2 linked regions of the Stegostoma tigrinum genome follow. Each later gene encodes a partner of the first gene's protein in a complex. Links are inferred from orthologs where the notes say so. Each region holds a gene or a part of one and is shown on either strand. Other genes may lie near its edges.

Region 1 (16,140 bases):
CAGCAAATCAGACTCCAACATCTACCGAACAATAGCACCAGACCAGGTGAGTAGAGGAGAAAGGGGCAGAATGATATGTGAATGGAATTAGAATTAACAAATTTGGGTGAAGGTTCACATAATACATAAGCATCAGCTTCGCTTTCTAGAGGCAGTGTATCAGTTCCAGTTGTAAAACATCGCAAGACATTACACAGGAACATTAATACATGAAGATTTATTATGACAGGTACAGAAAGGCTGAGTCAAAGAGGGAGATTTTGAGGAAAGGTGGATAGGTGGAAAGCCTCAGGGAGGCTGAAGACTGGTGGAACTATGAAAACTGGATATGTACAAGAGGCTAGAATTAGAGAGTGCAGAGAGGTCGGGGAGTTGGAAGAGTTTATAAGAGATAGGCTGTGGCAAGGCAATGGAGAGATTTGAAAACACTAAAAATTTAAAAATGAACGTGGTGCCAAACTGAAAGCTAAATGTAAGTCAGTGAGCAAAGGGATAACAGAGGATTGTAAGTTTGGTGTGAATTAGAGCAAAGGCAGCAAGGTTTTGCTTCAGAATAAATGCATATCAAACCTGGCACGGATAGTTGTATGTGCGGGGCTACACTTTATTGTTAATTAGACACACCACTAATTCTGTACTGTTGATATTAGAAACATTATAAATTGCTCCATCAGTTTCCAGAGATTTCTACGTAATACTTCGTCACTGAATAGGTTTACTCCTTGAAATCCTATTTTCATCAAAGGAGCATAGTTGCTTATTTGCGAGGGCATACTTCCTGCTGTTGGCTGATGCTGTAATTGATGATGGTGACGATGATAGAAGAAACCAATCAGTAGGGGTTCTGTAGAAGTTTTAACATATCTCACTTTTGAATGTTTCAAAAGATGACTGAGGTGGCTCAACGATCTGATTTTACACAAAATTAACAGAGATTAAGAAATCAATACTTTATGAATGACTTAAAATAGTTGGCAGAACCAATATATTCAAAATGTTGCCTATCTAATTGCCTGATACAATAATGAAATTTACATTTTTTCCCAATGCAGTTGGCCATCAGTGGGAATAATGCAATGTAAGTTAACCAGTTTGTACATCCAAAGAGAAACAAGAGTGTCTCTCATCAACATCTGACTTTTGAGCTTTAAATTTGGTTCACCATCATTTTCTGTATTAATTTTTTGTTTGGATGTGTAAAGATTATATTTTGTTTTGGAATACAGGTAAGAGTAAATGGAAGTTCACACACCACTTTGCTAAAGACAATGTAAAAGGTGTGTTTCTCAGGGTTGTTTGTTTGCAACTTGAAGACCCAAATTAGAATTATGTGGTGTTCGTTTATTAATTACAGAAGGTCATGTAACCTTTGGAGGAGCTAGGTTTGATATTTTTGAGAAACAAGCTAGCACAGGTGCCTTTAGTTTAAAAAGCAATGCACTAACAGCTTTTGGATTTTTTAAGTTGCAGCCAGTCATGGACTTGAAAATGACAGCTGCACTCAGGCCTCTAGAAAGCCTGCAAGCAAATACAGGTCTCTCCCTTTCTCACCCTGTGCAAGGAAAAAGAAACACTTGAAGATTTGGAAAAGAAAAGCTCCCAACTCAAGCAAAGACCTAAGTTCAACTGACCTGCAAATGAATTACGGACCTCTTATCATTCTGTGGTAAACAACAGCATTATATCACTGCCAAAAATCAAAGTAACTGTCAAAGTGTCACTTCATTCCACTTGTGATCTGGATTCTTGACACAGATAAGTAGTTCCTTTTTGTCTATGTTTTCTGTGGACGATACTTCTGCTTTGACTTTCCTAGTTATGACTGGATGTGTGTGAGCTTGGGTTTAAAGTGGTTATAGTTTAAGTTTGCACAGAATTAAGTAATAAAAAAAATTTGCTTTCTTGTTTATTGATGTAATCCAGCGCCAGTTCTTTTAATTTAGGTAACAGTCAAAGTAGACAATGAACCATTTTAGTAACTAAACGGGGCACATATATAGCTTGTGGAGTAGTGAGGTTTGACTATCAGTAACTTTTCTTATCAGGATCATGACAGATGCTTTTTCAAGATGAGGACATTGAGCAAAACAGACGTCACTGAGGGGAAAAAAAGATTGTCCTCCTACCATTTCAAAAATTCCTGCCACAGTCTTTAGTGGTGCTCGCTGAGTGATGGTACCTGAAAATCGCAAACAGGAAGGGGAGGTTGTGTGTGTGTGTGTGTGTGTGTGTGTGTGTGTGTGTGGGGGGGGGGGGGGGGTAAAGATTTAACCAATTAGGTAGAAGACTATTGATCAAGACAAAGAACATTTTATTCAAACAGTTAAATACCTTCAGTGTTTGACAGTCTTCAATTGTGTTTTGGAACAATCCAATTACATTCTTTTTCTGAAGCCATGTTAGGTCCTCCAGCATCTTAAAAGTGAGTGAAGTTCTTACACAGCTTATGAATTCTTCGTTGTCATCCCTTTCAGAATCATCACATTTCCTCTTGATTGAGACTTGCAGCTGATCATCAGCACTGGTCTTCATCAAGCCTATGCTGAGAAACCACAGTTCCTCTGGAAATGCTTGCCGTGTTGCAAGTTGGACTGTAAACCTGTGCAGCAGTGCTCGCCACTCTTCACCCAAGTGGCCAGGGGAGACAGAAAGACTGATCTGGGTGGTGGTACTTAATGGCAAAAGATGACTTTCTCCATCCTCGACCTGAGTCACAGCTGAGATATTAAATGGCTCATCCTGTTTCAAACTGCTAGGCTGGAGAAGGGTTGTCTCTCTGTATCCTGGGAGACCTGAGCTCAAGGCTAAGGGATTATTACAGTCATTTGATCGATCAAGTGCATGGAGATCCTTCAAGTCATCACACATATTCCAGCTCAGCTTTTTTTTTGTTTCTTCGTCTACTCGCACCGGGGCTGCACGCTTCCTTCTGTTGCTCATTGTACCAGCTTAGTGCAAGTTCACAGCTGCAAACAAAAAAGTATAAAAATATGAAATTCTCCTAGTAAAAAAGGATGAATGAAGCATTTATTGCTCTGAACAGTCAGTTAGGAATGCAACACAAGACGAGGACGTTCATTTTGTTATTGAGCTATTCAACTAAATCAGCATGGATTTGTATCTCAATCCAACCTTGATTCTGTAACCCTTAAAATCCCCACTCATTTATCATTCTCAATTTTGAAATTTTCTACTGAAAACTGCTTTTATATTGGGGATGATAGAGGAGAGATGTCCAGATTTTCACCACTCTTCATGTGAAGAAGTGATTCCTGATTTCACTGTGATCTCCTAAGGTTTCTCTGGTCCTCCCCATTACTAATCTATTGCCTTTCAGATAATAATCTGTCTTCCTGTTTTTGACCTCACATTTATTCACCTGCCATGTATTTGTCATTTTTTTTACTGCCAAATGTGCATATTTAGATTGTATCTTACATTTAACAATTTAGTTCAGTCGTAGCCTTTTGTAAAACTTAATTAATTCACAAACATTTAGTTGGAAATGGTTTAAAGCTAAGCAAATGGAAAATATATATGTATATCGTGGAAACAAACAAATGAGAAACAGAGTACATTATGACTGTCAGAAAAAGCAACTGGTCCAGATCAATCATAACATTTATATAAAAGACACAAATTAACGAAGCATCACAGCTCATGCATTTCTTCCAAAAATAAATCAAAACATTGAGCAAATTATATGAAATATAAATTAGAGAAACAGGTTATTTGGCCCAACCAGTCTTTGACAATTTTTGTGCTTCACATAAGCCCCACCCCCCAGCCACCTTCACATAACCCAATCAGTAGATCCTTCTATTTCTTTCAGTCCTCTGTGCTCATCGTACTCCCTCCAGAATGGATTCATGTTACACTTTTGACTTGGTCAATTAGTGAAGTTGGTTGATCTGTATCTTAATTCCATCCATTGACCTTGGTCAATAATCCTTCATAACCATGACTATCAAAAATCTTTGAATTTCAGATTTATAGCCATTGATTGAACTAACATGTATTGTTATGGTATGGTCCACCACCCTATGCATGAATAAATGTTTCCTAATTTCAGGTCTGAATTGACTGTATCTAATTTTATGACCACATCCTCTCATCCTACCACTCAAAACATTTCCTCTCTATCCTAGCAATTGCTTTCTAAACCCTAAAACCCTCAGTCAAATCACTCATAACCTTCTATGTTCAAGATAGTACAAGACCAACTTAAGTAATCCTCCTCGATAATGTAGTCCTTGAAGCCAAGGTATTATTCTGGTGAATATTCTGCATTGCACACCTTTCTAGGCCACTGAAGGTGTGCTGTCGAGAACTGTATGCGGTACTTATATGTGATCTAGATCAGGGCTTTGCATAGCTGTAGCAAAATCACCTTTGTATTCCAGCTCTGATAATTTATTGTTCCTGATGATGACATTTTAACTATCTTTATATATGGACCCCACATCACTTTCAACTTCCATTGTTCCTAGCTTTTCACTATTAAAATAATACTCAGTGATCCTGTTGTGGGTAGTCTCATATCTTACCTCATTAGGGGAGATAATGGTATAGTTTATCGTGGCTGCATTAATAATTCAGAGACAATGCAAATGTTCTATGTATTCGGTGCCAAATCCCACTACAGCAGATGACGGAATTTGAATTAAATCAAAAAATCTGCAATTACAAGTCTAACAATGTGCAAGTCAGTTGGATTGGCTATGCTAAATTTTCCAGAAGATTCCACAACCAACGATCAGATCTCAGCTGTCCGTTCCTGACACATTCAGTCATGAATGGTGGTGGACAATTAAACATCTCACCGGAGGAAGCAGCTCCACAAATTTCCTTATCTTCCATAATACCAGACTTCAGCACGCTAGTGCAAAAGATAAGGCTGAAGTATCTGCATCAATCTTCAGCCAGAGATGCTGACTGGATGATCCATCTTCAGCTCCTCCAAAGGTTACCACTGTAACAAATGTCAGTCTTCAGCTAAGTAGATTCACTTCATAGGACATCAAGAAACAGCTGGAGGTACTGCAAAGGCTATGGGCCGTGACAACATTTCGGCAGCAGTACTGAAGATTTGTGCTCCAGAGCTGGCTGCGCCTGTTGCCAAGCTGTTTCAGTACAGCTACAACACTGGCATCTACCTGACTGTGCAGAAAATTGAACAAGTGTGTTGCACAATTCATCATTCTGCTGATTCAAATTCTCTCTTCCTTTAAAAACTAAACATTGAACCAATCAGTCCAAATGAACAACATGGATAAGACACCAAGGAGGATTTAGTACTCAAAATAAACATTTGAATCAAAAACCATTTTAATCCCAAGTATTTTAGAGATTAAACAATCATAAGTTTAAACTTTCTCTATCTTATCATGTTAAATAGTTCTTAGTAAGTTATGTAACAATAACACCTTCATTAGTTCCAACATATCTAAATTGAAACAGATTTGTTCTCCAACATATTAGAAATTAGTTGGAAAAAAAATCAAAGAAACTCATACGTCCTGTTAGATGGCAGGAAGAGGTACAGTCTATCAACTGCCCTGAGAGAATTACATTGATGAATATGAGAAAACCATGGTCACTAAATGTATTCATCAATTTTCTTCTGTTAAAAGTTAAAGCCGCAGAAGAGAAAGCATTATGTTAAATTCAAGCCAGGGATCCGGCTTCGATTTCAGCCTCGGGCGACTGTCTGGGCGGAGTTTGCACATTCTCCCAGTGTCTGCGTGGGTTTCCTCCGGGTGCTCCGGTTTCCTCCCACAGTCCAAAGATCTGCAGGCTAGGTGGATTGGCCATGCTAAATTGCCTGTAGCGTTCAGGGGTATGTGGGTTATAGGGGGATGGGTCTGGGTGGGATGCTGCAAGGGGCGGTGTGGACTTGTTGGGCGAAGGGCCTGTTTCCACACTGTAGGGAATCTCATCTAAACAAGTGCAAGATTTTTGGAAGCAATTTTTTCTAAAGGAAAACAAAAATCACCATTTTAGATTAGAAACATTGGCCGGATAATTATTTCTGAAGCACACATGGGAGCTGCACACAGTGACCCTGCAGACACACCAACACATTCTGGTCAGATTTTCTGAGGAGCAGAAGTACACATAATTTGCCACTCTGCGCCTTCTTTTTAAACAGAACAAAAAAGCTCTGTATTCCTGACAGGAGACTCTGACCATGGCTCCTTCATTAACGTGGTGTTGTACTTTTACTCTGGCAGGTCCATATCTTGCAGGCTGTGGGGTGAAAGTAAACTGTGACTCCTTTTTCATAGCATCAGCAATCATCACAGACAGCCACTTTTAAAAAGCTCCGGAGAGACGGTAAGTACATAAGTGTGAGGTTAGGGTGCCTCCTCCAGTGCCACAATGATGCCAACCAAAGGTTGCAGGAACAGCCACCTCATATTTCGCTTGGGAAACCTGCAGCCCAATGGTATCAATGTGGACTTCACAAGCTTCAAAATCTCCCCTCGCCTGACCGCATCCCAACAACAGCCCAGCTCGTCTCCGCCTCCCTCACCTGTCTGTCCTTTCTCCCACCTACCGACTCCTCCCACCTTAACCCACACCCCCACCTCCACCTCCTAGACCTGTCCGTCTTCCCTTGACTGACCAATCCCCACCGTAACTCCCCAGCTACACTCACCTTTACCGGCTCCACCCCCCACCTCCTTGACCCGTCCGACATAACAAGGTGTAGAGCTGGATGCACACAGCAGGCCAAGCAGCATCAAAGGAGCTGGAAAGCTGACGTTTCGGGCCTAGATCCATATTCAGAAATGAAGGCCTAGGCCCGAATGGGGGTATATCGGTCTAGGCCCGAAACGTCAGCTTTCCTGCTCCTCTGATGCTGCTTGGCCTGCTGTATTCATCCAGCTCTACACCCTGTTGTCTCAATGTTTCACAAGATACGCGATCAGGGACAGACAATCAGCTTTTCCGGGTGATACTGACTGACGAATGAATACCAGGCCGGGGCGAATCGCCCTGTTCTTTGCGCAAATAGAACGGTAGGGTTTTATATGAAAGGGCAGACAGTGCCCTCAGTTTGAGACATCCGCTCCCTGATACCAATCGTGGATTTTATAATCACTCTAACGCTGATAATCGATGCTACTCACAGTTAAACCCCAGAGCCTGAAGTTTCCAAATAAATAATAAACGGTTCAGAAACAATAAACAGGGCCGGAAGAGCTGGACGGCTGACCCCCGGATGTTGATGATATTTTCCAGGAAGTTGTCTGTGTTAACTCGGAAGTTGCCGGCCCGCGGTCGTGGCTTTCCCCGTTGACATGGAGGCTCGCTATGTTTCACAGAAGATCAGCCGGGTCCGCTGGCTCCCGGTATCCGGCTCCAGTCTGCAGCTTCCTGAATGCTTCGCCACCGGATCCTGGGATGCTGAGGTGAGCAGAGCAGCAGCCGAGGGAAGGACAAATACGTTAGCATGGTCATCCGGGAGAGAAGGAGAGGGGAACAGAATTGGACCGAGGGCGGTGGGTGTAGGGACCCCCCAAGAGAAAAGACAGAAGTCCGCCGGCAGCAGTCAACCTGGATAAAAGGCATGCGGCATCCTCTTCTTTATAAATACACGAAATGTTTTTAAAAAGATCAAAAGAATGGAAACCAAGCTAGTTTTAAAAGAGAGGAGAAAGCTGTGGTTCGCAGCAATTAATTAGACTGGCAAAAAAAAATCGAAGTGGTGCTCCCCATCCTGGGATATCAATATTGCAAATAGTTTGAAGTAGGAGTTGAAAATACTGTACACTTTAAAATCCTGCACGTGACACCAAACTTGGCAGTGGAGAAGTGAGGGTAAATGACAAAATACAGAACTTCAATAAGAATACTAATATAAGCTGCAAGTGAAGTACAGTCGTGGACAATTACTTGCTAACAAGTATGCTGATCAACCAAGGACATTCTGTGGTCATTAATCATGTGTTCTGTGGGTATTTGCGTGGCTGAGCCCGATTCTCGACCAACATTTCTGACCACATATTTGCTAGGTGTTTACTGAAGGTGGAAGTGGTCCTTGGCCTTCTGATCATTGGCATTTCTCAGGTTCCTTTTCCATACCCCCTTTTTCTGATGGGTGTTCTCAAAGAATTGTGACTCTTCATAGAATTAGTGTGGATATAGGCCATCTGGCCCAACAAGTCCACAGCCACTCTCCAAAGAGCATCCCATCCAGTCCCATCCCCCTCCCTTTTCCTGTAACCCTGCATTTCCCATGACTAATCCACCTAATTGACACACTTGTGGACACTCTGGGTAATTAAGCACAGCCAATCCACCTTACCTGCACATCTTACACTGTGGCAGGAAGCCTAAACATACGCAGACACAGGGAGAGTGTGCAAACTCCATATAGGCAGTCACGTGAGGGTGGAATCAAACCTGGCACTGTGAGGCAACAGTGCTAACCACAGAGCCACCATGCCATCCACAGGCTTTCGACAGGAGTTTCCATCAAGTCAGTTTCTTCTGAATGAGGGTTTCCTATGTGTTCACATCTATCTTGCCATTCTTGATGTAAGCTTTCAGGAGACTTTAAAACACATCCTATGTCCTCCTTTTGCTCGAGTGCCTCCTTTGAGCTGGGTGAAGATTTGTTTTGACAGTCAGAACTCAAACATCCTAAGCATACGGCCAGCCCACCAGAATTGATTCTGGATGAAGCCTTGAAGCTGTTGTATTATACGTTTCAAGGAATGCTAATGTTAGTACACCTACCATCCTGAATCATAAGGAGAATCCATCTCAAACAATGTGGATGGTACTTCTCAAGGATCTTAAGGTGGCATTTATGTATAATCCAAGTTTCAGAGCTATGTAGAAGAGTCTGAAGAATGATTACCTTATACACAAGGATTTTGGCATCAGCACGGATGTTACAAACATTGAATACTCTCATCATTAGTTGTCCAAAAGCAGCACTCGTAGATTGAATGTGATGTTGCATCTCTGCATTGGTATCAGCCATTGATGAGAGGTAGCTTCACAAATAAAGGAAATGTTTAGTAGTTTGGAGGATTTCTTCATTAATCTTCATAGAGGGATGGACTGAACTTGACCAAGGAGAGCTTGGTAAAACTTTGAGCCTTCAAGGTTGAAACTAATTCTTCAGGTACTTCCTTGAAGACATTAAGCATGGTTTGAAGATTCTGTTCTGAGATAGTGGAGATGACATTGCCATTTGTATACTAATATTCAATAAGTAATATCCATGTCATTTTCTTCTTGGATTTCAACTGATTAAGGTTGAAGAGTTTTCCATCCATCTTGGAGACAATGTTCACATTAATAGGAAGTTTGTTCTTGAAGAAACTGAAGAATTCTGGTGATGAAGATGGAGAAAAGGGCAGTGGTGATGATATATCCCTGCTTGACCCCTGAGATGACCTCAAAAGATTCTGTCATATTCCTGACGGAGGCTCATCACTACTATCTTATGCTAGAGATGGAGGATGTTGATGAATTTCACTGGACAGTCAGCCTTTGCAAGGGTCTTCCATAACACTTCCCAACTGACTGAGTCAAAAGTCTTGATCAGATTGATGAAATCCACGTAGAGTGGTTGGTGGTTTCTTGGAGTTCCGAGCAGTGAAAATCATGATGACAGTTCCACACTTCTGTCAGAAAACGCACTGCTTTCCAGAACAGTTTCCTCTGAGTCTGGGAGAAGGCAGTTAATAAGGATTCAGGTGATGATCTTCCTGGTGATGGAATGAGGGGAGATTTCTCAGTAGTTCCCAAGACCATTTTGTCTCCTTTCTTGAGGACAGTGGCGATGGCAGCATCCCTGAAATTGGCAGGGATCTCTTCTTTGTCCAGATTTTCAGAAACAGTTGATGGAGATGACAGGTAAGCTTTGCTCCTCCAACTTTGAAAATCTCCACTAGAATCCCATCTATTCCTGTTTCTTCACCTTCATCTGTTTCTAGTGTCATTTGATGGACATTGGGGAGGGGAGGAGTCAGTGGTCTGTCCATCAATTGTCTGCACTAGGTCATCACTTTGGTAATCTTTTTGGTCTCTGGGCTGAGCAATGACATAATTAATTATGTGCCAGTGCATTGATTATGGATGCCTCCAAGAATTCTTGAATTTATCTTTTCGGAGCAAGAAATGTATTGGTGATGTACATTTGCTGAGTGTGAATCCTTTCAGAGTTGCAATACCCGACTCCTTGTCCAGAGTTGTGTGTCTTTTCTGACTTGAGCATTCAAGTCCCCATGAGCAATAATTTTATCTTCCTCAGAGATGTTGATGACAAGGGTAGAATAGAAACCTTCTTTGGACTCATCTATAGCATCAAGGGTTGGAGCAGTGGCACTCGTGACCATTGTCTGCTGGTTCTTGGCAAATTGTAGATGCAGAGATATGATCATTGTTGCCAACAGGAAGCAAAAATAATCAGTTGATGATTTATTCTCGATTGCATGTGACATGGGTTGATCCTCAGAGTTTTCCTCTCCAAAGGAAGGGGTACCTCATCCTCCTTTGCTCAGCTCCCTTCAGGACTTCTGCAGAGCAGTGATATTAATGTTAAATTGCCAGAGTTTACAGCAATAGGGGAAGTTCTTTGTTGTAGATAATTGTTTCATTTGTTATCCATGAAGGTTCGTATATTCCAGGTTCTTCATGGTTTGATTTACAAACTGTGAGTAGATGAGCAGATGCAGATGAAGAAGTATTTTTCACCTGTGGTGGATTCCAAAACGAGAAGCCACTAATGTAAAATTGTCACTATTAAATCCAACAGTGTGTTCTAGGAAACATATTTACCCAGAGATATGTCTGAATGAAATTTACTATAGCAAGGAATGGTTGAGGTCACTAATGTAGATGCATTTAAGGATAGTTAAGGATAATCTCTTGAGAAAGAAAGGAATAGAAAGGTTGTGAGATTGGATGAAGAAGCATAGGAGGAGAATCATGTGAATCAAGCGGAGGCATCCAAGTGTTAGTCCGAATACTACCTTTCTGTTCTCTCCATACAATATAAATCATTGGACTGTCGTGTCGCAATCTGGATGCTGTACCTTAGGGAATGAATGAAGAGCTTGGAGTGGATACAGAGGAGATTTTCTAGACTGGTATCAAGGTTGAGAACCTTCATGTATGTAGAGAATTCACAGGAACTGGGATGTTCTTAGAGCAAAATGGATGACAGGGAGATTGAGTAGAGTTGTTCAAAATTATGCAACATTCTGATAAAGTACATAAGAGAAAGTGTTTCCAGTTATAGCATAGCTGGTAAATTGAGGACATGGTTTAAGATTTTTATCAAAGAAACAGAATGATAATGAGAGTTTGATTTTATGCAGGGCAGCATGTTCTGAAATGCACTGCCTGAAAAGTTGTGGCATAGATTTAACTTAGTAGTAACTTACCAAAGACAATTGAATTGATATTGAGAAAGGCAAAGTGTGCAAGGCTATGAGGAAAGAGCAGGAAGAGTGGGACCAGCTGGACAACACTTTCAAAGAACCAGCATTGTTATGATGGGCTGATTGGTGTCTTCCTCAGAATAAGATTCCATAATTCGTTATTTTGTTCTAATACATTCATCTCTTGCCTCACACTTGAAGTTTATTGAAATTTTTTATCGTTTCTACAGTTCAGTTCCACATTGCCAGTCCAGATTAAGCAGCTTGGCCCAAAATTGTTGAGGGTTGTTATTGACACAGGTCTTGTTTTTGTAATCTCTAAAGTGCAGGTTCTTGCTCTTTCTCCCATGCAGCAGAACAAAGTGTGCCTATGGGAAACAATTGATATTGAAAGCATTGATACAGATCAACTGTTCTTGGAGGACTCTAAGCCTTTGTGTTCAATCACCCACCAAGGTGACGTTATGGATCTACAGGTAACTGAAGTTTTGGCGTGGCTTTAAAAAGACTGCACAGCTCACCTCACTCATATTCCTTCTCCCACCCCCAAACAGATTCCATTTTAAATACTGCTACAATAATCTATTTGTAATTGGTATTTTTTTCTAAGTCACATGGTATATCCTGTGTGAAACTTTCTTTGAAGAAATTGTGTAGGTTTCGAGATGAATGTTCACACCTTTTGGACCACGAGTAAGTTCAAGCTGGCCCAGAACTATTAGCTTTAGTTTATTCTCAGAATCATAAAAATCCACAATACACAAGGAGGTCATTTGACCCATTATGTCTGTCCTGACTCTTCAAAGGAGAAATTGTGCTTCACCCAACATCACTGCATGTTTCCCTGTCATCTCAATAAGTTCCTCGTCGTCTGATCCCTGAACAACACCCTTTTGAAATTATTCATGAATCAGTGTCCACTGTGTTTTCAAGAAAATCCTTACAATTGAGTCCAAAACATTTCTCCTCATTGCCTCTCTAGATATCCGATTTTGAATTACACACCCGAGTTATTCGCCTACTCACTGGAGACATTTTTCTCTGCTTTGTCAAAATCTCTCATTGGTTTTATAAAAACACTTCCTTGGCCACCTAAACTTAGATGATACAAGTATAACAGTCTCAGTCTTTCCTCACAACCGAATTCCCCTGTTCTCTGCAACATTCTGGGAAAGCTTCATTGTACCAACCAGTGCTTCCACCCACCTTCCTTCCATCTCCCCACTCCAAATAAATCCTAGTAATGGAGTCTCTAAACACTTGACATAGTGGTTGCATAAAGACTTGTTTGCTTATGTTAAATATGACATAGGCAAATAATTTTGATTGTGAATAGTGATGTAGCTCTGCAAAGAGTTAAGTGTTGCCATAATTTCAGACCAAGCTACTGCACCCTCCATATCCACCAGAACAAGCTCTGCCCACAGCATTCAGCACAACTCTTGTGGGCACATCAGACCTGGACCTAGATAGTTTTTTGAAGCTGAATTCTTGGTGTAGGCCAGAAGGTCATCTCGAAAAACAATGAAGAGTCGTCCACACAATGTGAACTTTACGTGTGGCGAGGTTAGTGCGTTTAATTTTATGAAGAGCACTGGAGGATTAGCTGATAGCAAAGATGCCCAAATGACTGTCACCTACCTCCATACAGACGCTTCCAAATCTGTTGAATTGAATTTCAGATTCTAGTTAAATTAATAACTAACTTTCCTTTCTTAAAAGTCCAGAAAACTGTTCTTTATCATCATTCGTTTTTGTTTGATCCGCACAACAAGCTCTGTGATAAATCTGGGCCAGGACATTGCTGAAATTAAATTGCCAAAATGCAATACATGTAGAACAACTCTTTGAATTCCAGCAGTTAAAATTCATAAGGGTTGCTACAAGCAGTGAAACAGCAAGGCCAGGTGGAGACTAATGCTGCTTCAAATCCCACCACAAAAGGTAGGAGAATGTAAATTGAGTTAATTAATAAATTCTATTAATTAATAAATCTGGAGCTGAAACCTAATCTGAGTGATGCTATCCATGAAACTCTTAGCCATTGTCAGAAAAATCAGTAAGAAATCTGTTATCCTTATTCATCTGGCGTGTGTGTGACTCCAGACACGGCAATGTTATTGACTCTGAACTGCACTCTGAAATGGCTGTGCTACCCATTCAGTCGTATCAAACCACTGCAGAAAAGTCAAACCAGATTGACAGCAGATGTTAAAGAAGATGAATCATTTTGTCTTGGGATGGGCAACAACAACTGGCCTTTTCTACAAACACCGACATTCCATGAAAGACTATTTTTAAAATGTAGATTCACTGTTACAAATCAGAGGTATTTAAACTGTAGATACACTTGACCAGACATAAGGAATGCTCAATGTCTACAGAGTTTCAAAACACAGGATCTAACGATTACATGGGGTACATCTTAGATTATATATGTATGTTACATTTGTGTCTACATACAACTGCTGTCTACTGCACACTTTCTAGTTTTCTGTTGTAACATTTTTCTCTCATTATTTTCAATTTTCTTCCTTCATAAGTTCCTCCAAGTCCTAAATCAACTAGCAATAAGATTAATTATGACTTGCATTCTTTTATAGTTTCTGGATCAGGAAAAGATTATTACCGCTTCTTCTACAGGAAGTGTCATCTTATTCCGTTATGATCAAAAGGAACAGGTACAGAAATCATGTATAGAAATTTTTCATTAGTACTCAAAATGATTGCAAATTTAATGCAGTCAGAAAGTTTGTTCAATGTTCTCCTGTTCTACATCATTAAATGTCATGATATTGATTTTACCATGTTTTGTAGAATATAATCAATTGCTGAAATGAAAAAAAAGCCCATCCTTTACAGTTTCAAAATGGATGTAATTTATTCTTCAAAATGATGCATATTGGGTCTACTAGACCCTGTGGCTGGTGTCATTGGTGTAATTCATGCACTTACATTTTGTGTGTTTTCTGCACCATTCTCTGCCATAGAAACTCTCAATCCTCCAGGAATGGGAACGTGCCCACTACTATTCCCATGGCACTGCTCCCTGTACCAGTCTGGTCTGTAATGGTCCTGAGATCATCTCTGTCGGGGAGGATGGTCGGATTAACCATTTCAAAGCTGACCAAAAGGAACCTGTGCAGACTATAGGTTTGTATAAAGGAAATTTTTAAAAAATTTACACTCTTGATAAAGAGACCTTGAGTTTATATAATACCCTTCAGGAACTTCAAATGACCCAAAACACTGTACAGACCGTAAAATACTTTTGAAGTGTTGCTGTTACATTTTTGGAAGGATGTGGCGCTCAGATGTGTGTAGGTTGGCTGCTAAACAGCAACAAGATGAAGTTTCTCCCACCTCCTGGCAGGGTGGTCCGCAAGGGTGGCTAGGATGGGATGGTGGGTGCTTCGTAATGGGAAGGTGAATTTGACGCTTTGGAGGACTAGAGACACAAGGTAAGGACAGAGGCAGAGGAATTTGGAGTAGGAGGGTCCACGTTCTGAGGTGGATGGTATTATCTCTGCACAAAGATAGAGTCTGAGGTGGCTGTGGAGAGGTAGTGTAGGGGTGGATTCAGCAAGTGAGGAAATAAGCATTCAAATTTGCATTATTATGTTTTGTAGTTGAGTTTAATACTGTCCATAATGTTTTTTAGTTAACCATATGTGGCATGTTCCCCCTTTGGACTTTGTCTTTCTCATTGGAATGTGTCTATTATGTATGTTCCGAATATCTCCTTAAATGTCTGTCACTAGCATCTCCAATGGGCAGTAGCTTAATCCAAGTTGCTAGGCTACTTTAGCCATCATCTCATAACTTCACTTAAAATCCTAGTCTAGCACCCACCCTTACCTCCATCAAATTGAATGTAAAACAAATAATCCAATGGTAGCTGCTACTGAGGTATGCTTTCACTACAAGGTCATTAGCTAATCCTACATTATTGCACAGTACCAGATCACTGATATCTAAGGTGCCATAACTCTCAGGTTGTTGAATTAATCCTGTCACATTACACAAAAGGAAGTCTCATATAACCTGGTCACAGAACATGCTGCACTAAAAACCTATTTCAAAAGCATTCTATGAACAACTCATTCAGGCCAATCTGATTTTTCATTTGTTAAATATATATCCAGAAGCGCTGTTATACATAACAGGTTTTTTAACACCGAATCACTGTTCGTATTTTTATATAAACTGATTTTTTGATACTATTTTTCTACCTTCTACAACTACTAGCACAACAGTCCTTGTTAGTTCCCCCGAAGTGAATGACCTCGCATACAGTCAGTTTGGTGATCCACCCCTGCTCCCCAGTGCTTTCATCCAAATAGGGTGATAGAACCTCAAACTTAATGGATGATGCACATACTGACACTCCTGTCATCTGCCTTCTGCATCCCCTTATCTGCATTTGCACAGACACACCATCCTGTCCCCCGCCACTGACCTTACCCAAAGTGGTGCAATTACCTCAGTACAAAGAATCTAGGTAAATTCCCTGTTCACTTTATGTATTACAGTGCCTGTATTTTAGCTTCCAGCTCTCAAACAATGAGCTAAAGCTGCTTGATCTTCAAGCATGTTGACTGCTGGCATGTTTGCCCTGGATCACTATGGTATCCAGGAGCTCCCACATGCTGCAGCCTTGACATATCATCTGAATTGCCATTCTTAATGAGTCTTAATTAATTACTTTATTATTCACTCACTTTTATGTTGT
Region 2 (16,050 bases), on another chromosome or scaffold:
TCCAGAGGCAGCCTCAACTGCTTCATTGAGGAATTCCCTCCCCAGATTCCCAACCCTTTGGGTTAAGAAGTTCCTCCTCAATTCAGTCCTAGATCTGCTCCCAGTTCTAATTTCACCCATCAATGGAAACAATCTCCCTGCTTCCATCTTATCTATTCCCTTCATAAATTTTATGTTTCTGTAAGATCCTGTCATTCTAAGTTCCAGTGAATATAGTCTGACTCTACTCAATCTGTCCTCATAAGACAGCCCACTCAACTCTGGGATCAACTAATGAACTTCCTCTACACCCTTTTCACTGCTAGTACATCCTCCTCTTGAGAAACCAGAACTATATAGTACCCCAGGTGTGGCCTCACCAACACCCTATATAGTTGCAGCATAATGTCCTTTTTTAAAAACTTAATTCCTCTAGCAATGAAGGACAACATTCCATTTGTTTTCTTAATTACTGCTGCACCTGCAAGCAAACTTGTGATTTATACACAAGGATGTTGAGGTGCATCTGCACAGCAGCATATTGCAATTTTACTATTTAATAGTCCATTTTGCCATTATTCCCACCAAAAATGGATGACTTCACATTTACTACCATTGTACTCTAGACACTACCCACTCAACCTATATCTTCTGCAGACTTGCAGTGTCCCATGCATACTTTGCTCAACCACTCATCTTATTGTCACTGTAAACTTTGACAATTGGTCCCCAACCTTAAATCAATGTAAATTTTAAACAATTACAGTCCCAACACTGATCCCTGAGGCACACCACTAGTCACTAATTGCCAACCAGAAAATTTCTCTACTTTGCTTTCCAGTGTCTTGATAGCATCTGACGGATGTTATTGTCACACCATTGGTGTAGATCATCATGTCATTAACATTTATTCTCAAGTACAGATCTGCAAATGACCATTTTGTCTTCATGTCTTTGTCAGCTCTTTAAAGAGTTATCAAAATTGCCTCACTGCCCACATCTACCTCCATAGTTATGAAATACTTTGACATACAGCCAATTCCCCTTTGGAACCCACATTTCTGGAGGTTCAGCTCTGGTACCATCCTGATCACTTCAACAGTTCCCCTATGTCTGGATGCCCTTTTAAATTGTTATCATCCAGATTGTAATGCAAGTAGATTCAAAGGTATCTTCCAAAATGCATCCATTAGTATCAATAAAGATACTAATTATACTAAAGTTAAAAGTAGGAGACAGCAGCCCACACCCCATATTGAACTGATGTCTTAGGTTGACTCATTATCTACTTCTCTCAACAATTCATTCAACATATTCCCTATGCCAAGTTTAAGCTATTTCACCATGCTAAGTGCAACAGTTTCAATGCAAGTCACTCATCCACCACCTCAACACGAGTCTCTGCCAATCTCAAACAATCAATCATTCATGGAATATAGAAGGGTGACTACATTGATATTTTAGGACTTTAAAGAGGAGTTGATTAGAAATCAGGAATTTTTGTCTACTGCTTGGAGAGTCTGAGACTCTGCTTTCAAATCTGACCGTGGGAAATTTAGAATCACAGAACTATTATGGCAGAGAGGCCATTTGACCCCTTGTGACTGCATCAGCTCTATTATATAGAGCCAATTTCCTGCCCTGTCTCCAAATCCATGCACACCATTTTACCCAAAAAGCCATTCAAAGTCCTCTTGAATGATTCAATTGAATTGCTGCCACCACATTTCTAGGCAGTGCATTCCAGTCTAGTCCATAACTATTTGCTGCGTGAAAATGCTTTTTCTTCACATCACTAAATCTATGCCCTCTTGTTCTGGTTGCTTTTACTCCATCCAGCATTCCCATGCTAGGATATGCATCAAAATTTCACCAGCAGCTCTTGTTATTTGAATCCATATGCTCAGCAATGTTATTCCAGGCCTTTGGAATAAGAGTCCAGTGACATGACCACCATGCCACTGAATAGGAGATACATCTTTGCTGTGGTAGAAGTGTGGAACTCTTATCAAAAGTAAGATGTACCCAGTTGAATCAATACTTCTGAATCAGAGTGGGACACTGTTTCAGGCCATGATTCCAAAAAGGCTATAAAGACCAGGTGGATAGGTGGCATTCCAGACCCAGATCAAGCAAAGCCTCATTGATGGAGGGGGTTGAATGGCCTCCTCTATTCTCATTCTAGTCTACTGATGATGTCAACTCACCTCTTTATTCATTTCAGCCATAGCAAGCTGCAAAACCATAAGCATATTATCAGCACCACAGACAGTAGTTCTTTCATGCTCCAGAAGCTGGCACCATCCTTTCCGGAATCTCCTTATCAACTGTAATACTTTCTGTTGGAGGGAATCCATGTCTCTGAGTGAACAAACACCATGATAATTATACAAGCATTTATGGACACTGAATTAAAAATAAGCTCCAGAACATCTTAAACTCTCATGATTTGGGGGAATTGCTCACCAGATCAGTACTTATTATCCATCCCTACCTTCCCCAGAGGCAGTTCTGAGTCAGCCACATGTAGGCCAGGCTGGGTAAGGATTGGACATTGGCTTTTCCAAAGCCAATTAAATGTAGATGTTTTACCAAAAGTCAGTAGTGGGTTTTGTGGTCAGAGTCGTGACAGGCATATCACAGGAGTTTGTTGGAGGAGTATTTTACTCAGAACATTTAGTTCTTACTGTACAAATTCTTTAACAAGAGACTTTAGAACAACCAATGAAAAGAGCCAGAATCTGCGCTTAACTAGTGGGAAAGCCGCACATGACTTATTAGACATGGGCAAAAAGGAAACAATAACTGCATTAAAATGCTACATAAGTGTAAGCTGAAGATATTAAGTAACTGATGCACACAAGATCAGTTAAATTCTCCTTTTCTTCAGCATAAAGTAAAAAACACTATTACACAACACTAGCTTAACTCCAGTTGCATTGGTCACAGTCGATTAGTCTGAAGCCACAGACATAATAGGAATTAATGCAACCCTTGCAGAAAGTTCAAGTTAAATTCCAGCCTTGTAATACTGTACATTGCTGGCAGACATCCCATGGTGTCAAACCTAGTTGGATAGTAAACCAACAAAATGCAAACAGGGAAAGAGTTCTGCAAAGCAAGTGTGACATTTGCCAGAAGTTAATTCTAATAAAAACTTGATCATATGGAATGAGACTACAGCATAGAGGGAGGAGACTATTGAGCATCATGCATTGCCTGGCAATTTTGAAAGGGCAATCCACTAAGTCTTACACTGCTAGTTGTCCTTTTGGTTTGTGCATCCCTTCAGAACATTTGTTGAATCTGTAGTGCATAGGATATCAAGCTAGAAACCAAGATGTCACAATTCATGATCCAGAGATGAGATGAGAGTTCAGATTCCAACACAGCCAAATAATACTGCCAATTTAATTAATTCAATGTGGGGTGTGGGCTACTGTCCTACTACTTTTAATTAGTATCTTTATTGATAAAAGGATGCATTTTTAAAATGCTATTCTCATTGACTAATAGATTTCTAGACTCCCATCTGAGTCACTAATGTTCTTAGAGAAGGAAGCCTGGTATCCTTAATCCAACCTATGTGACTCCAGACCAAAAGCAATGCGATTGACTATTTGTGCACTCTGAAATGATTGCAGTCCAAAGTGAATTTATGACCACTCGAATACTCTGATGGCCAGATCCTGCAAACGAACAGTGTTTTAGTTAATCTCTGCTATCCAGCATGGTCAATTATAGGACAATTCCATCCTCTTCTCAGTCAGCTTTCATCAAATCATCCTGTCAATGCCATATTAAGTGAACAAAGGGACAAAAGACATTGAAGTTAAAGAACTGAGCCAAGTTTGGCACTAGGAACCTATTTTCCTACCAGAGAGTCAGCTCATAAATGCTGCAGCATTTATATAACACTAGAGATCACAGCAAAACATTCCTGGCGACCCTCCTTGAACCACAGCAGTCAGTCAATGTCATTATAGCACTGGATGTGAGTTTGCTCACTGAGCTGGAAGGCTAGTTTTCAGATGTTTTGTCACCATTCTAGGTAACAGTGAGCCTCCAATGAAGCACTGGTGTTATGTCCCACTATTTATCTGTTTAGGTTTCCTTGGGTTGGTGATGTCATTTCCTGTTTTATCCCCAAGAGGATGGTAGATTGGCTCCAAATCAATGTGTTTGTTGATGGAGCTCTGGTTGGAATGTCATGCTTCTAGGAATTCTCGTGCATGTCTGTTTGGCTTGTCCTAGGATGGATGTGTTGTCCCATTTTTCCATCACCACCCTTGTCCGCTTTCTGGAGGGACCAAGAAAATGGGACTACACATCCATCCTAGGACAAGCCAAACAGACACATGAGAATTCCTAGAAGGATGGCATTCCAACCAGAACTCCATCAACAAACACATTGGCTCCAAGTCAATCTACCATCCTCTTGGGATAAAACAGGAAATGACATCACCAACCCAAGGAAACCTAAACAGATAAATAGAAAGTGGGACATAACACCAGCACTGATGTCACCATTCTGGGTAACAAAACATCTGAAAACTTACCTTCCAGCTCAGTGAGCAAACTCACATCCAGAGCCTCAACCAGAGTTACAAATCTTAACATTATGGCACTTCCAGAGAAGTTTAGGAAATTACCTCTAGGATCCTGCATGGGAATGTCACTGAACCTTGTAGAATATAGAGAGGTCTGAATAGAGTAGACATTTCCAAGAGTAGAGACTAGGACCTCAGGGACAGTTTCAGAGCAAAGGGCCAACCCTTTAGAACTGAGATGAGGAGGAGTTCCTTCAGCCTGGAGGTAGCAACTCATGAAACTCATTCCCGCAGAAGACTGGAGGCCAAATTATCAGGTGCCTTTAAGCCAAGATCTTGATTAGTAAGGTGGTCAATGGTTACAGGGAGAAGGCAGGAGATTGGGACTGAGAAACACAAGTTAGGATCAAAGGCAGAGCAGATGCAATGGACTGAATGGCCTAATTCTGCAACTATATCTTATTGTCACTATGCAGTATGAGACCAGTTTAAAGCATGTCCAAGGGAAATGGCATATGATTTGGCAGAGTTTGGATAAATGGGAAACTATAAAGGCCAGTGCTACTTCAATCCATCCCTTGGAGTGATTAAAGGACAGCAGAATGCCTGGCCAGATGTCTAGTCCCAGTCTCCACCCTTTTGCATTTTATTAAAAAAAATTAAATCTAACCATTTCCATATACACCATTCCTGGAGACATTTTATCAATTTTGTAATTTGGTCACTAAAGTGACTTATCCACAAAATAGAGCAGGATTGAAGTAGATTCAATAGCTTTCAAAAAAGTTTAGATTATATACCAGCACCAACCCACAGTAGCAAATCAACAAGGCCCTGCTACACTCTCCAAAACTCATGACCTCAACTATTTAGAACATCAGCAACAGATGCTTGGGGAAACCCTTGCCTGTAAATCAGAATTTTACATCATGGGATTGTCTTCCAGCCAGTCATCAGGCATCTAATCCCTTGTGTTCTACTTCAAACTACATGCCACCTTCTATTATCACCCTCCATTCTGCATGGCTGGGTCAAAATTCTAGATATCCACAGCATGCGTAACCACAGCTCTAAGGCAGCATCTCAGTGCTTGAAGTAGTTCTGAAGGGCTGGCCCAGCCACTGACTAGTCATTTTCAGTGACTGGGAGCAGGAAGAGTGGCACTAAATTGATAAACAGAGAGCTTGTACTAAGCTAAAAGTATCAGTGCCCTCTTTTGAGCAGCACAGCTGCTAACTGTGCCAGGGTCCCAGGTTCAATTCTAGCCTCAGGTGACTCTCTGTATGGAGTTTGTACATTGTCCCTGTGTCTGTGCAGGTTTCCTCCCATAGCCCAAAAGGTAGTGAATGAAACCTTTGAAGAGCAGGCGTGCATGCTGGAATGGATAGAGATAGACGAAGCTGATGTGCTGAAAATTTTGTCAAACATTAAGATTGACAAGTCGCTAGGCCCGGATCAGATTTCTCCTCGGCTGCTTTGGGAAGCGAGAAATGCAATTGCTTCGCCACTTGCGAAGATCTTTGCATCCTCGCTCTCCACGGGAGTCGTACCTGAGGACTGGAGAGAGGCAAATGTAATTCCTCTCTTCAAGAAAGGAAATAGGGAAATCCCCGGCAATTATAGACCGGTAAGTCTCACGTCTGTCGTCTGCAAGGTGTTAGAAAGGATTCTGAGGGATAAGACTTATGACCATCTGGAAGAGCATGGCTTGATCAAGTACAGTCAACACGGCTTTGAGAGGGGTAGGTCATGCCTTACAGTTTTTGGAGGATGTGACTAGAAAAGTTGATGAGGGTCAAGCTGTGGATGTGGTGTATATGGACTTCAGTAAGGCATTTGATAAGGTTCCCCATGGTAGGCTCATTCAGAAGGTCAGGAGGAATGGGATACAGGGGAACTTAGCTGCCTGGATACAGAATTGGCTGGCCAACAGAAGACAGCGAGTGATAGTAGAAGGAAAATATTCTGCCTGGAAGTCAGTGGTGAGTGGAGTTCCACAGGGCTCTGTCCTTGGGCCTCTACTGTTTGTAATTTTTATTACTGACTTGGACGAGGGGATTGAAGGATGGGTCAGCAAGTTTGCAGACGACAAAGGTCGGAGGTGTCATTGACAGTGTAGAGGGCGGTTGTAGGCTGCAGCGGGACATTGACAGGATGCAGAGATGGGCTGAGAGGTGGCAGATGGAGTTCAACCTGGATAAATGCGAGGTGATGCATTTTGGAAGGTCGAATTTGAAAGCTGAGTACAGGATTAAGGATAGGATTCTTGGCAGCGTGGAGGAACAGAGGGATCTTGGTGTGCAGATACATAGATCCCTTAAAATGGCCACCCAAGTGGACAGGGTTGTTAAGAAAGCATATGGTGTTTTGGCTTTCATTAACAGGGGGATTGAGTTTAAGAGTCGTGAGATCTTGTTGCAGCTCTATAAAACTTTGGTTAGACCGCACTTGGAATACTGCGTCCAGTTCTGGGTACCCTATTATAGGAAAGATGTGGATGCTTTGGAGAGGGTTCAGAGGAGGTTTACCAGGATGCTGCCTGGACTGGAGGGCTTATCTTATGAAGAGGGGTTGACTGAGCTTGGTCTCTTTTCATTGGAGAAGAGGAGGAGGAGAGGGGACCTAATTGAGGTATACAAGATAATGAGAGGCATAGATAGAGTTGATAGCCAGAGACTATTTCCCAGGGCAGAAATGGCTAGCACGAAGGGTCATAGTTTTAAGCTGGTTGGTGGAAAGTATAGAGGGGATGTCAGAGGCAGGTTCTTTACGCAGAGAGTTGAGAGAGCATGGAATGCGTTGCCAGCAGTTGTGGAAGCAAGGTCATTGGGGTCATTTAAGAGACTGCTGGACATGTATATGGTCACAGAAATTTGAGAGTGCATACATGAGGATCACTGGTCAGCACAACATTGTGGGCTGAAGGGCCTGTTCTGTGCTGTACTGTTCTATGTATACAGTTGGGGTAATTTGGCATGGCCAATCCACCTAAGTGTCCAGGGTTGTGTAAGGAGATATATCATACATAAGAGGCCATGTCACTAGCTTGGGGGGGTGGGGGGGGGGGGGGGGAGAAAACAAATCAGGTGGACTCAAAGCTTACACAGTTTCAGGCTGTAGGAACACAGCAAGTCAAGCAGAGGAGCAAGAAAGTCAACTTCTTGGGTCAGGGTCCTCCATCAGGTTCCTAGATGGATTTGGAGTTCAGAACTTAATGGCAACCAATAACTAAAGGGTCAGCAACAGTTTTTCTCCCCACCCCCAATTAAAACCCACCCAAGACTGAATTTATTCCATTAAAACTTCTCCAGGTTATTACAAACAGCCTGAGAAAGTAACCATATAACCTCAGACAGTACATTCTAAATCCACAACCACTTCCACCCAGAAGGGCAAGGGCATCAGATACATGGGCCTGGGTCAAATGCTGACAAACAGGACTAGGTTTAGGATATTTGGACAGAATGTACAAGTTGGACTGATGGGTCTATTTCTATTTTATATAAATTTGACTATGACTCAGGGCAGCATGGTGGCTCAGAGGTTAGCACTGCTGCCTCAGAGCACCAAGGGCCTAGTTCAATTCCACTCTCAGGCAGTGTGTTGAGTTGACACATTTTTCCCCCCCATGTTTGCATGGGTTTCCATGCACTCCAGTTTCCTCCCACTATCCAAAGTGTTGCAGGCTAGGTGGATTGGCCACACTAAATAGCACATATAGTGTTCAGGGATGTGGGTTATAGGAAGAATGAGTGGGATGCTGAGAGTGTGGGTGGGGATTTGTTGGGCCAAAAGGGCCTGTTTGCACACTGAACAAAGTTTCTATATGAACACCACCACTAAGTCACTCACCAGCCTGACTTGGAAATATCATTGTTCCTTCTTTGTCACTAGGTCAAAAATGCTGGAATGCCCTCCCAGAGGGTCAACCCCCTGTTGTATTCAATGCTTTGACTAAAAGGCAAGCATAGAAGTGTGGTTGACTCTTAACTCTTAAATGCCCCCAGCAGTTCAAGAAGGCAAAAATCACCCCCACCTTCTCAAAGGGCAACTAGGGATGGGCAAGAAATGCTGGCCAGCAGTGCCCACATTCCACAAGTGAATAGAAAAAACCTTCATGTTATGCACTAACCAATACCTTTCCCGCGAGACACAAAAAAAAACACCCGTCAGTATCAGTAGTGTTTAAAAATACTTCATTCAGCATATATAGGCAGACAAGTTCTCGGTTCAATACACTGGAATTCTCGTAATAAGGAGGCAAACGCGAGCATTTTGCTATTGTCTCCAGCTCAATAGCATGGTTCAGGCAATTTGAGGCTCGCCGTTGAAAGCGAGCGACTCCTCAGTTCTTGTACTCACCAACTGTCACTTGCGCAGACCAGCTCCCAATCTCCAACGACAGTGCCCAAGCTCTCACTGGCTCTGTCTCACTCACCAACCAGCCCTGCCTGAAGTCAGCACTAACACAACGCCTCACTCTACATCCCTCTCTTCCCAACTTAAGGGTAAAGATAGATCCCACACGGACTTTTCACCCACACCCAACTCCAGGCCAATTTAAAAGTCCCGGGCCGGAGCAGCTGTAACCAATCAGAGCGTTGCCGTTACAATGTTGCACTTTCCTCCCGGAAGCGAAGCGGAGGCAGCCAATCAGCGACGAGGGGTTGTGTCTGAACGTTCCATTGAGGGTTTTCCTGGCGAGTCTGAGCTTTCCATCGGGGATTCCCTCCAATCTCCCCGGGTTCCGGGACTGGAAAGCGGAGACGACGATGATGGTGAACGAGGCGGCATCGCGGGGCGCCACGCACACGGTGCCAACCGACGAGACAGTGCACGTGGTGGAGTTTAACCCTTTCGAGGACTGCGGCACTGGCAGCCTGGTCGCCTACGGAGGCGACAACTACATCGTGGTGGGGAGCTGCCGCTTTCAGGTGGGCTGTCCTGGCAGGTTCTTTTCTGGGAACGTGTGACTGTTTTGGGGACAGGGAGGTGGTGAGGAAGGGATAAGGAAGAGAAGTAGGTCGGAACCCATCTAGTGCCACAGAAACAAAGCTGCACTGAAACATCTCTTTGAGGTATGCTCATCTTGAAGAAGATCTGCTCCTCTCTCCCACAGGATTTCCATTCTAATCTTTTTTCTTGTTTAGCTGTTGATTTTTCGAGGCCGACCTGTATTCATTTGTCTGCCCAAGTATGTTTTTTTCTCTCTGCCTGGGTTCCCTCTCCACGTATCGTTTACTTCTACCCCCACCCTATCTTCAGCATTTTTATAAACCTTTTCCTAGCTTAAAATCAATTCTGAAGATGGGCCAGTGAACGAGAAACGTTAATTCTGCGTTCTCCACAGATGCTGCCAGATCTGCTGAGTGTTTTTTCCCCCTCCATCAGTTTCTGATTTCCAGCATCCACAGTTCTTTGGGGTTTTTACCTTCAACTGAGTTTTGTGATGCTGTATGCAGAGCAAGGGCCACCGAACAACAATTGAGCTGATCAAAACATAGCGTGGGTGCAGTACTCCCTAGGCACCTTACAAGCAATGAATGGGTTTATTTTCATTTCCGGGATTTTCTGGATTTATTGGTCCTCCCTGGAACTGGGTGGCTTACAGAGGGCAGTTAAGAGCCAACCACATTTCTATGCTTGCCTTTATTAGTCAAAGCATTGAATACAACAACAGGGAGATTATGATGGTGCTGTACGTAAGATCAGGCCACAGCTGGAGTACTGTGTGCACCACCTTATAGGAAAGATGTGCTTGCACTAGAGAGGGTGTAGAGGGTATTCACCAAGATTTGCCTGGGCTGGAAGGATTCAGCTATAAAATCAGGCTGAACAAAAACAAAGTTGCTGGAAAAGCTCACCGGGTCTGGCAGCATCTGTGGAGGAGAAAACGTTTTGGGTCCGATGATCCTTCCTGAGAACTGATGGTGGCTGGGAAAATGTCAGTTTATTTGCAGAAAATGGGGAGGTAGGTGGGGTAGGGAGTAACCGATAAGATAGACCCCAAAGAGAGAGGAAGACAGTTGGACAGACAAAGGAGTTGCTGACGATCAGGCTGGGTGGGTGAATAGTTGCTAATGGGGATTGTTAGTGACTAACAACAGGGGGTGTGTAATGGCAGGCTATGTGGTAACAAGGCCTGGTGTGTGGGGTGGGGGGGTTGGGACATGGGGGAGTTTAGGCCCTAAAATTATTCAATCAATATTGAGTCTGGAGAGCTGTAGGGTCCCCAAGCAGAAAATGAGGTGTTGTTCCTCCAGCATGAGCTGGGCTTCACTGAAACACTGTAGCAAGCCGGAGACAGAGATGTTGGCCAGAGAGCAGGATGGTGCATTGAAGTGGCAGGCAACTTCAGGGTCTTTTTTGCGAGCAGAACATAGATGTTCTACAAAGCGGTCGCCAAGTCTGCGCTTCATTTCCCCACACTGGGGAGAGGAGACCACATTGTGAGCAGTGAGTGCAGTAGACTCGATTCTTGGAAGTGCAGGTGAAGTGTTACTTCACCCAAAAGGTATGTTTGGGCCCTTGGATACTGGGGAGGGAGGAGGTAAACGGGTAAGTGTTGCACCTTCGCTGGTGACAGGGGAAGGTGCCTTGGAAGTGTGGAGAGGTGTTGGGGGTGAAGGACGTGTGAATCAGGGTGTCCCAAGAGGGAATGGTCCCTGCAGAAGGCGGTCAAGGGAGGGGAGGGGAGGGGAATATGCTTCTGGTGGTGGCACCTGGCTGGAGGTGGCAGAAATGGCATCTGATGATCTTCTGGATGTGGATGCTGGTGGGATGGTAGGTGAGGATAAGGGGAACCCTATCGCTGTTGCGAGGGGGAACAGAAGGGGTGAGGACAGAAGTGCGGAGATAGGTCAGACTCGACTGAGGGCCCTGTCGACAATGGAGCTGGGGAATCCTCGGTCCTCTAGAAATCAGTTCCTCCATCTCCGTCGCATATGTTCAGATGAGGTGAACTTTCACAAGGGAGCCTCAGTTCTTCCGTCTCTGTCGCATATGTTCAGATGAGGCGCACTTTCACAAGGGAGCCTCTGAAATGTCCACATTCTTCCTCGCCCGAGGATTCCCCAGCTCCGTTGTCGACAGGGCCCTCAATTGGGTCTCACCCATCTCCCGCACTTCCGCCTCACCCCTTCTGTTCCCTCCCGCAACAGCGATAGGGTTCCCCAAATCCTCACTGATCACCCCACCAGCATCCACATCCAGATCATCAGACGCCATTTCTGCCACCTCCAAACACATATTCCCCTCCCCTCCCTTGTCAGCCTTCCGCAGGGACCATTCCCTCTGGGATTCCCTCATTCACACTAGCTTCACTCCCAACACCTCCCCACACTGCCACGGCACCTTCCCCTGTAACTGGCCAAGGTTCAACACCTGCATATTAACCTCCTCCCTCCCCAGTATCCAGGGGCCCAAACATACCTTCCAGGTGATGCAACACTTCACCTGCACTTCCCAGAATCTAGTCTACTGCACTGGCTGCTCACAATGTGGTCTCCTCTACATTGGGGAAACAAAGTGTAGACTTGGCGACCGCTTTGCAGAACATCTAGAACCTGCCTGCAAAAAAGACCCTGAACTACCTGATGCCTGCCAGTTCAATGCACCATCCTGCTCCCTGGTCTATGTCTCCGTCTCTGCTTGCTACATTGTTCTAGTGAAGCCCAGTGCAAGCTGGAGGAACAACACCTCATTTTCCGCTTGGGGACCCTACAGTCCTCTGGGCTCGATATTGAGTTGAATAATTTTAGGGCCTAAACTCTCCCATGTCCCAGCCCTCACCCACACACCAGGCCTTGTTACCACATAGCCTGCCATTACACACCCCCTGTTGTTAATCACTAACAGTGCCCATTTACAACTATTCACCCTCCCAGCCTGATTGTTAGCAACTTCTTGTCTGTCCCACTGTCTTTCTATCTCTTTGGGCTCTATCATATCGTTTACTCCCTACCCCACCCACCTCCCTATTTTTTGCATATAAACTGACATTTTCCCAGCCACTATCAATTCTGAGGAAGGATCACTGGACCCGAAATGTTAACTCTGTTTTCTTCTCCACTTGTGTTGCCAGACCCGCTGAGCTTTTTCAGCAACTTTATTTTTGTTCCTGATTTACAGCATCCGCAGTTCTTTTGGTTTTTGTTTTGGATAGGCTGAAGTTGTTTTCCTTAGAGCAGAGAAGGCTGGGGGTAACCTGATTGAGGTTACTTAAGGAGGCTTAGACAGGGTAGATAAGTGGAAATAGTTCCCTTTAATAGAAGCATCAATTACCAGGGCTCACAGTTTTAAGACAGGGAGGAGAATACTGAGATACAGGCTATTAGACTAGATGGCATTGAGGTTCACAAGGAGGAGGTGTTAGCAATTCTGGAATGTGTGAAAATAGATAAGTCCGCTGGGCTGGATGGGATGTATCCTAGGATTCTATGGGAAGCTAGGGAGGAGGTTGCAGAGCCCTTGGCTTTGATCTTGATGTTGTCATTACCTTCAGGAATAGTGCCAGAAGACTGGAGGATAGCAAATGTTGGCCCCTTGTTCAAGAAGGGAAGGAGGGACAATCCTGGTAATTACAGACCAGTGAGCCTTACTTCGGTTGTGGGTAAAGTGTTGGAGAGGATTATAAGAGATAAGATTTATAATCATCTAGAAAAGAATAATTTGATTAGGGATAGTCAACACAGTTTTGTGAAGGGTAGGTAATGCCTCACAAACCTTATTGAGTTCTTTGAGAAGGTGACCAAACAGGTGGATGAGGGTAAAGCGGTTGATGTGGTGTATATGGATTTTATTAAAGCATTTGATAAGGTTCCCCACGGTAGACTATTGCATAAAATACGGAGGCATGGGATTGAGTGTGATTTAGTGGTTTGGATCAAAAATTGGCTTGTTGGAAGAAGACGGAGGGTGATGGTTGATGGGAAATGTTCATCCTGGAGTTCAGTTACTAGTGGTGTACTGCAAGGATCTGTTTTGGGGCCACTGCTGTTTGTCATTTTTATAAATGACCTGGATGAGGACGTAGAAGAATGGATTAGTAAATTTGCAGATGACACTAAAGTCAGTGGAGTTGTGGATAGTGTAGAAGGATGTTGCAGGTTACAGAGGGACATAGATAAGCTGCAGAGATGGGCTGAGAGGTAGCAAATGGAGTTTAATGCAGACAAGTGTGAGGTGATTCACTCTGGAAGGAGTAACAGGACTACGGGGTACTGGGCTAATGGTAAGATTCTTGGTAGCGTGGATGAGCAGAGAGATCTCGGTGTCTATGTACATAGATCCCTGAAAGTTGCCACCCAGGTTGATAGGGTTGTTAAGAAGGCGTGCGGTGTGTTGGATTTTATTGATAGCGGGATTGAGTTTTGGAGCCGTGAGGTCATGTTGCAGCTGTACAAAACTCTGGTGCAGCCGCACTTGGAGTATTGCATACAGTTCTGGTCACCGCATTATAGGAAGGATGTGGAAGCATTGGAAAGGGTGCAGAGGAGATTTACCAGGATGTTGCCTGGTATGGAGGGAAGGTGTTATGAGGAAAGGCTGACAGACTTGAGGCTGATTTCGTTAGAGAGAAGAAGGTTAAGAGGTGACTTAACAGAGACATACAAGATGATCAGAGGATTAGATAGGGTGGACAGTGAAAACCTTTTTCCTTGGATGGTGATGGCTAGCACAAGGGGACTTAGCTTTAAGTTGAGGGGTGATAGATATTGGACAGATGTCAGAGGTAGGTTCTTTACTCAGAGAGTAGTAAGGGTGTGGAATGCCCTGCCTGCAACAGTAGTAGACTCACCAAGTTTAAGGGCATTTAAATGGTCATTGGATAAACATACGGATGATAATGGAATAGTGTAGGTTAGATGGGCTTCAGCTTCGTTTCACAGGTCAGCACAACATCGAGGGCCGAAGGCCCTACATATGTTCTATGTAGGGAGCAGGAGGTTTAGAAAGAGATGTGGAAGAAGATTTCAGGAGATCATTTTGACCCACAGGGAGATGGATGCTGTGAACTCACTACCTAAAAGGCTGGTGGAGATGGGAGCCCTCAAGGCATTTAAAAAGTATCTAGATGAGCACTTGAAACACCATAGCATACAAGCTAAACTATTGGAAAATTGAATTAGAATAGATGGTCGTTTGGTGACTGGAACAGACACAATGGGTTGAAAGGTCTTTTTGACTGTATGGATACAGAGTCACACGGTGTCCAAGCCAGGCCAGTGCTGCAGACCTCCTTCCCTAAAGGACAGAAACGACATTACTATGATGCCACTGTCTCCCTTTTTTTGATATCTATGGCTATATTTGTGAAATAAGAACTGTAAGAGCCAATTTGCGCATATGATGATCCTGCGAACCATACTGAGGCAGTAATTGCATAGTTTGTATTTGTTCACTATAAATTGTATTGCTTGAGAAAGTAATGTGCCCATCAGGGAAATCTCCTAGCTCACTTCTTCAAAATAATAGTTTGGGATCTTTCATTGCCAAGAAGGCAGACATTAGTAGCGAGAGGGTTATCAATGTCTACTCATGACTTCAAGGGAAATCGGAATAGTACAAGAGAAAGCTGTGAAGATAAATAATCAGTCTTGACCTCACTGAACAGTGGAGTAGGCTTAATGGGCTGAATATTTCAAAGTTGTTACTGGATTAGTAACCTAGGGGCTGAGGTTCGTGCTCTGGGGACACAGGTTCAAATCCTGCCACAGTAGTCGTGGAAATTAAGTTCTGTTAATAAAATCTGGGTTGTAAACTAATCTCAGTATTGGTGACCATGTAACTATTGTCTAATATGGTAAAACTCCATTTGATTCACGCATGTCCTTGAGGGAGGGAAATCTATGGTCCTTACCTGATCTGGCCTACATGTGACTTCAGGCCCACAGCGATATGGTCAACTCTTAGCTGTCCTTGAAATGGCCCAGTTCAAGGGTAACATCTGAACCCAATACCTTTTGACTAATAGGCTAGGACACTCTCAACTCGGGACTGTATCAGCTTGTGAGTATTATGAATATTCCATTCTAATCTTTTTTAGGAAGAAGATGCGGAAATTAAAGGTATGGAATTCAAGACACTTCAGACATTTCATCGAGGAATACGGGTGGATTCTATTGCGTGGAGCCCAGAAACTAAGATGGACACACTGACACAACTGATCCAGTAGGAGATACTGTTACTTTCTGATTCATTTTAGCAATTTGGTGTTGCTGGCAAGGCTGGCATTGTTTGTCTTTGAGAAGGTGGTGGTGGATCTGTCACTTTTTGACCTGATTCAGTGTGTGCGGTGATTCTTTGCAGCAGTTTCAACACAACTAAGTGGCTGTCCGGGCCACTGCAGAGGCTAGTCCAGAGCCAGCTATCTTGTTGTGGATCTGGAATAGGTCCACACCGGGGAAAAATAGAAGATTTAATTACCTAAAGGCCCTGATAGGTTTTTATGACAATCCAACATTGTGTCAAGGTTACTTTTCCCAGTACCAACATCTTACTTTGTAGATTTTGGTTAAAC

Evidence for each region.
Region 2: nup43 (region 1) and nup37 share a complex: the UniProt entries of both Homo sapiens proteins name them as parts of the nup107-160 subcomplex of the nuclear pore complex. The link is inferred for Stegostoma tigrinum from reciprocal best matches to the Homo sapiens genes NUP43 and NUP37.

What each region holds. Positions count from the first base shown.
Region 1 is NC_081357.1:93,683,524-93,699,663, forward strand, and holds the start of nup43 (nucleoporin Nup43), read left to right. Parts: upstream 1-7,221; 5' UTR 7,222-7,307; coding exon 7,308-7,418; intron 7,419-11,761; coding exon 11,762-11,884; intron 11,885-14,011; coding exon 14,012-14,089; intron 14,090-14,398; coding exon 14,399-14,561; intron 14,562-16,140. Other genes in the region: E3 ubiquitin-protein ligase SHPRH, read right to left, coding at 2,332-2,940. UniProt on the Homo sapiens protein: Component of the Nup107-160 subcomplex of the nuclear pore complex (NPC). The Nup107-160 subcomplex is required for the assembly of a functional NPC.
Region 2 is NC_081371.1:60,073,502-60,089,551, reverse strand, and holds the start of nup37 (nucleoporin Nup37), read left to right. Parts: upstream 1-9,195; 5' UTR 9,196-9,301; coding exon 9,302-9,463; intron 9,464-15,576; coding exon 15,577-15,701; intron 15,702-16,050. Other genes in the region: parpbp (PCNA-interacting partner), read right to left, coding at 2,187-2,336. UniProt on the Homo sapiens protein: Component of the Nup107-160 subcomplex of the nuclear pore complex (NPC). The Nup107-160 subcomplex is required for the assembly of a functional NPC.